Coturnix japonica: one gene and its partner. The main gene of each other region encodes a partner of the protein of the gene in region 2 in a complex. Links are inferred from orthologs where the notes say so. Each region holds a gene or a part of one and is shown on either strand. Other genes may lie near its edges.

Region 1 (2,446 bases), on a different chromosome or scaffold from region 2:
GACAGGCTGAACCTGCGTCCCTCTGTGGTGAGGCTTTACATGTCTGGGTGGCCCAAGGCAGCGCTGATGCAGATTCCTTTGGTGGCAGACTGGGCTGCATCCTCATGAGCCTGCTGTTGTGTGCAGTACCTGGAAACAGCCCTGGAGAGATTCTTGACAAAATCAGTGTCAGAGTTAGAAGGACCTAAAGAAGTGGTGATTGCTGTTGGAGCTGTGTGTTCCCTGATGATAATGGGTTTCTTTCCAAGTTCATCTTGCTTCTAGTGAAGACAATACAGAGACAGATGTCTCTGCTATCCAAGGATAGTTATTGTTTTGGTTTTAGTTTTGAGGCTGCTGGCAGAGTGCTGGAATGCAGCTGGACTCTCAAAGCAGACGTCATGGTGAAACAAGGTTCAGTCTCTGCCCTGTTTTCAGTAATGGACAGCGTGGCAAGTAACATGAAGGCTCATGAATGCTATATATTTGTTGCAGGTGGAAGGTTTTGTTGGAAAATGCAGTTTTATTGAGGACCACTGGTGACAGGACACGATGATCTTGGTCTCATTGGGTCTGAGGGAGGCTGGCAGGAGACTGTGGTGGGCATGGAGTTTTCTATGCTGGCTTCTCAGGCTGCTCAAGGTGGAGGAAATAGAAAGGGCTACATTAATGTGAACTTTTTTTCCATGATTTGATCCAGTGCTGACCTTCCCTGCTCTCATTCCAGGCCCAAGAGTGAATACTCAGAGATCGATGAGGAGGATGCTCAGGCTCCATATGACCCCAATGGGAAGCCCGAGAGGTAGGAAGCTGGATGTGCTCCCACTGCTGGGAGGAGGGGGATGGAGCTGGGTGCACTGCGTTTGCTGTTGGTGTGAGTTGGATGTGCTGCACCAGCGCAGAGAGCTGCTGCTCCCTGGAAAGCAAGGCAGGAGTTGCAATTAACTGGTGATGTGCCCAGGCCTGGCAGGTTTTGCCCTCTGGGTGACTCTTCAGAGTTCCTGTTACCAGGTAGGGCACTGCAATATTTGGTCAAGTGTCTTGGAGAGATGGCTTAGGGTGATGCTGAAGACACTGATGTCATCAGCAGTATTATTCACCCACGTGAGTCTCTCATGCTCTGATTGCTGCTGCTGCCCTCTCTACCAGGTGATAATGTGTTGCAGGAGTGCCTGCAGCCAGACAGCCAGTCTTAGCTTCCCCGTGCAGCTTTCACATCACATAGCTGAGCAGAGAAAGCCTCACAAGGGCTCTTGCATTTTGGAGGGTCGTGAGGGCTGCTATGAGCTCCATGGGAGTCTGTGGCTGCTGTTGTAGCAGGGCAGTGCTGGCTCATGCCCAGAGGGGAGCTCAGCATCTCCCTGCAGTGGGTCCTGGTGGGTTAGAGCTGCTGTGTGGGTGCTCTCTGGTTTTGTACCTCCTCACAGAACACTTGGTAACTTTCTCCCTGACTTGTAACCTCAGGTTTTATTACAACGTGGAATCTTGTGGCTCTTTGCGCCCCGAAACCATCGTTCTCTCTGCACTGTCTGGCCTGAAGAAGAAGCTGAGTGACCTCCAGACCCAGCTGAGCCATGAGATCCAGAGTGATGTGCTCACTATAAACTGAGGTGGCCCTTTGCAGGAGATTGTCCAGGCAGGAGTGATGCAGAAGGTTCCTGCCTCTGCCTGGCTGCACTCGGGGCTGAGGGATTGTCTCCTCATCTCCCTCTGCTTCTCCTGGTGCAGATCTGCTCGTTAGTAGCACTTCTCTTCCCAGAGAAAGCCATGATGACACGTAGGGTAAAGCAGGAGGAAAGTCTTTGCTGGGTGGGGGTGGGCTTTGTCTCTGATCCGAGTTTTGGACTGTGGTCACGTAGTGTTTGGGACTGGGAAGCATGTACCTCAATTACACAACCCTGTCCTGTTTGTATGTCTGTTCCTTAAGTGTACTGAATAAAGCCTTAACGCCTGTGTTCAGTCATCTCTGAAAGCTCATCTGGGGCTGCAGGAGGAGATAACACATCATTTAGTTCCCTCCAACAGACATTAACTTAATGAGGCCTGCTTTGGAGGGAGCGTTGCTCTGTAACAGCTGATTGCTGCTCTTGACCTACTGAGCTCTGTGATCTACTGAGGGTGCCAGAACCCCTGCAGCAGGTAGTGCTGGAACTGCCAGGGACAGGACTATGTTTAAAGCAGATGTTCAAGGCTGGGCTGCTAAGAGCCACATCACAGGAGGGAGGGTGGGCCAGGGAGACTTAGCTGTGTTTAAGGACTCCTTTGGAGCAGACTCTGCCCATGTGCTGTGTGCCATGGGGCTGGGCAGTGTCTGTCACTGGTAACCCCCAGCTGGCAGCTCTTTGCAGCATGCAGGGGCTGAGCTGGCTCTGTGCTTAACCAAAGCAGTGGCCAGAGGGCTCCAAGAGCTGCACAGTCACCCCTTCTCCCCTTCCTCAGCACCCAGGATGTGGGACAGGCTCCTTGC
Region 2 (4,286 bases):
TTTGGGTTTCCAATAACCAACACATTACAAAGGAATACACACTGCACGCCTTGTGCATCTGACAGCAGTTTTCTCCTAGTTACTTCTGCAGTTATCCCTGAAATGTTCCCCATCTGTTTCTCCTGTCTGTGGGAATACAGCTATGGGAGCTGTGTGACATGAGAATGCCACGCTGCAGAGGTAACTACTTTTAGTCACAATTACACCAAAGAAGAGTGAAAAAGAAGTAGCACATACAGGCTACACTGTAAGCAATTAAATGTGACACCTGTCACACCTTTACAAGGTAATTACCTTTGTCACCTACAAAACCTTATACCACATAAGGTATGTGCATCCCTTCCTGGGAAGGACAGATTTGATTAGATGCTGATGTCTTACTATGACACACCAGGTCCAAAATCTGCCCTGCTGAAGTTACCAGCTGGCTGCAGTACTTCCACACATTCTTGCTCATCTTCTGCAACTCTGAGGTACATATGGTTATCACTACTACAGAATAGAGCTGATTTTCAGAGTGCTGCAAAATTGTACCGTTTCCTTGGGATTCAACCTAAAATGGGAGTCAGGGTCATTTTAAGTTCCTATTATTCTTAACACTGTGATCAAACACAAGCACTTTTCAGCAGAAGTTGTGCTGTGCTAGGACAGAGATGCAGCACTGATAAGCCTCAGCAAGTTGTTATAACAAAGATATTTGTAAGTGCTAAGATGATTATTCAATAAAAAGATGTATTTACCTATTAGGTAATAACTTGGTAGAAAAAGAGACGTGAAACATCTAACTTACTGTAGAGACAAAGAACCCTTCCTGTCAGTTAAAGAAAGCCAGCAGGTCATGGGCAGAACAGCTAGCAGATTTGGATCACACACATTAAGTATCCTACCAGCAGCTGACCTGCATGCAATGGCACACTGCTGTCCCACATTTTGTTTCAGAACAGCTGATAAAATAGCAAAGCCATGCTACTTCCTTGCTTCTCATGTCTCCAGGTTACAGGTAAGATTTTGGATTTAGAAAGGAAACTCTGTATCATTTCCTTCTGTAAACTTCTCTGTAATACTCAGAACATTCTAATTAATTCAAATAATAGCAGAAATTCCAAAATCTTCCAAAATATCAGTGTGCCGCATCACCTTCAGTTACCAGAAGCACACAACAATCGTTCACACAATCTGTGCCCAGGACCAATAAACAGAACTTCAATATTAATGCTGCTTTCAGTATAAGATCTGTACCAGACACTGGCCAACTGCCATGAAACAAATCCTGCATCTCTCCTTGCCATGCTGGATAAGAACATCTAAATCCTCCTTTCCCCATCCAGCAGCAAAACAGCAAAACTCCATGGAAGACCATAAGGGTACAGAGAGCTGCATGCTGTGGACAAAAAAATACACACGCTAATAAATAAAAAAAGAAATGAAAAAAAAAAATTAAATTAAAAAAAAAAAAAGGGGGGGGGGGGTTGGGATGGGGGGGGAAGGTAAGCGTTTTCAGAAGGCTGGGAGGATGGCGGTGCCCTCTTCGTGCAAGGCACAGCCACCCAGCACCGAGAGCCGTGGGCAGTGCCGCTGCTCCCCGAGTGCGGAGCGAGGCAGGAGCACAAACCCGGCTCCGAGCGACAAAAAGCACGGCCGGCAGCCTCCGCCGCGATGCACGCACCTCCCAGCCCGCTCTCGGCGGCTCTCTCCCTATTTAAAGGCTGATGTGGTGTTTAAATGGAGAGGCGGTGACGTGGGGCTGGAAAGCACCTTCCCATCCTAGCAGAGTCTATATTAGAGAGCGGCAATGGCTCTATATAAACAGGGCGGCCGCAGGGAGGAGGAACACAAGGAGCGGGCAGGCAGAAAGGCAGGGGAAGCCATGATGGATCCGAGCGCCACAAGCAGGGCCGCGCCTGCCGCCGGACGCCGGGTTTGTGCCGCCGGCGCTCGGGGCGGGGGTCGGGGCCGGGGTTGCGCCGGGGACGGAGCGGAGACCGAGGGGCGATCGGATCGGCCGTGCGTGTGACTGCTTATTGCGAACCGGAGCGAGCCGTCCCGCAGCGAGCCGCCCGCCAAGGTGCAGAAAGCACGAGAAGGGACACAGGGGGGCGAGAGTTTTCTTTGTAAAATAAATACTGCCTCGCTCGCTGCAGAAAAGTTCCGGGCCGGGCCTGGCGGACCGCTGCCGCGGGGCTGGGACAAGTGCTTTTCAACCATCGTCTCTTTCCGATCGAGCAACATAAAATGGCTCCAGCGGAGCCCGGGCTGCCGCCGCCACCGCGGCCACCGCCACCCCGACACCCGGCTCGCTCCCGGTCGGGCGCGGGGCCGGCGGCGCTCGCTCCTTCCCGGGGCGGCTCCCCCCCCCCCCTCCCGACCCGCCCGCCCGCCCCTTCCCGCCGGACCCCGGCCCGCGGCGGGCGGCCCCGGCCTTTTCCCCGCGGGGCTCCGTCCGCCGCCCGCCCCCGGGCCGCCGCCCCGCGCCCCCCGTTCCGCTCCCGCCGCCCCACTCCCGCCGCCCCCGGCTGCGCTCTCCCCGCCCCGGCGTCGGGCGCCACAAGTTGTCTGCTGCTGCCGCCGCCGCGCGGGGAGCGGCCCGGACCCCGCCGCCCCTTCCCGCCGCGGGCCGGGGGGGAGGGGGCCGGGGCGGCCCGAGGGACGGGGGTGCGGGGGAGGGGGCGGCGAGCCCCGCCGGCCCCCTCCGCCCGCGCCGCCCGCGGGGTCCCCCTCGCCCCCCGGCCCGGTCCTTACCACGGGGTTTGTGTTAGTCGAGCTCGCCATGTCCCGAGCCCCCCGGGACGCCCCCAACCGCGGGGGGGGGAGTCGCCCCTAAAACAATAAACCTGCCCGGCTGCGTCCCCCCTAAGCCCGCACGTCCCGCCCGGGCTCACGGGCAGCCCCGCGGCCTGGCCCGGCCTCGTTCGCCGGCCCTGGGGCTGCAGCCGCCGCCGCCAGCCGCCCGCTCTGCCCGCTTCGCCCCTTTATATAGCGAGAGCCGAGCAGCTGCGCGAGCGGCCAGACCGAGCGGGGGACGCGCGCGGGGGGGCGGCCAGATACCGCGAGAGCAGCGAACGAGAGCGCGCCGCGCGGGGCGCCGTCACGTGAAGAGCCCGCCCCGCCGCCATGACACTTAGTGAGGCGGAAGTACACAGGGAGGTCGCTCTCCCGCTTGCCGCTCCGCCCGGCGTACCGAGGCGGAAGTCTTCGCGCTGTCCCGCCGGGCGCTGCGCCTCAGTCCGTCCCATCGTGCGACGCCCGCAATCACGGCGCTGCTGGGGGCGGCCCGCCTCTGCTCTGCGGCCCGGCCGGCTGCGATGAGCCCAGCGGGATGCTGCACACCGCGAGGCGGCAGCTCATAACGGCCCGGAGCGAGCCGGAGGCCAGCGAGGGACATGGGAACGCACATCGCGTCCGCTCGGTCTATAGGAGCGGTTTGCTCCTCGGTGTCAGCCCCTCACTGTGCAGTTCCAGGTACGCAAGAGCCCTGCCTGGCCCAGCAGGCGCTGGTACCTCTGGTCACAGGCCTTGAGCTGGCCCTGCTACAAGAGCCAGGTCCCGGAGTGTTCAAGCTCTTGTTACCTGGTCTGGTGACAGGAATCGTGGGCCCTCACTCTCAGAATTGCCTCTTCAGCAGTTCCTCACAAAATCTGTGGCACTGAGAATTCCTGGCTGTACCGTTTGGCTTGGCTTCCATTTTTGCCCTTTTAATTGCCTTTTCGTCCTTTTCCATTCCCTTTGCTTATCCCCTTTCTCCATGGCAATCTGCAAGATGCATGTAATACAGGAAAGCATTCTCAACTACGAGGATCCTTCCATCAGTTAACTTCCCTGCTGCCACCTTCACCAAGCCCTTAGGATAACTTCTGAATACAGCTTAGAGCTCCAGCAGTAACCCACCTGTATAAGACCTGCTCGAACATAAATTAAAAGCAACACTGAATTCCAGCTCTATGCTCAAGGTATTATGTTACATCAATCTCCACAGAAAACAAAAACAAACAACAATAAAAAACCCAACATGCCCTACAGACCATATTTGACACGTTACCTTCATTCAGAAGTCCCACCTACTAGCTAGACCAAGCAACATGTTTACAAACTCCTGTCTGGTAGCCTAAGACCAGAATTAATTTGTTAGTGGATACAGGAGACCTTCACATTCCATACTTCTAAATGCTTTAGTTCTGTGGTAGCGAGCACCTCCTTTCCCTTCTGACAGGCAGAGCTTTTATAGGCACGTGATTGATTTACAGTGGACCAGCTGATGAACCAGCTCCACTGTTCATGGCACATACTGC

Evidence for each region. The genes of interacting proteins can lie anywhere in the genome.
Region 1: GTF2A1 (region 2) and POLR2C share a complex: the UniProt entries of both Homo sapiens proteins name them as parts of the TBP-based Pol II pre-initiation complex. The link is inferred for Coturnix japonica from reciprocal best matches to the Homo sapiens genes GTF2A1 and POLR2C.

Annotation. Positions count from the first base shown.
Region 1 is NC_029526.1:1,904,308-1,906,753, forward strand, and holds the end of POLR2C (DNA-directed RNA polymerase II subunit RPB3), read left to right. Parts: exon of another isoform or gene 1-706; coding exon 707-781; exon of another isoform or gene 782-1,272; intron 1,273-1,443; coding exon 1,444-1,588; 3' UTR 1,589-1,942; downstream 1,943-2,446. UniProt on the Homo sapiens protein: Core component of RNA polymerase II (Pol II), a DNA-dependent RNA polymerase which synthesizes mRNA precursors and many functional non-coding RNAs using the four ribonucleoside triphosphates as substrates.
Region 2 is NC_029520.1:37,077,660-37,081,945, forward strand, and holds the start of GTF2A1 (transcription initiation factor IIA subunit 1), read right to left. Parts: upstream 3,023-4,286; 5' UTR 2,770-3,022; coding exon 2,740-2,769; intron 1-2,739. UniProt on the Homo sapiens protein: TFIIA is a component of the transcription machinery of RNA polymerase II and plays an important role in transcriptional activation. TFIIA in a complex with TBP mediates transcriptional activity.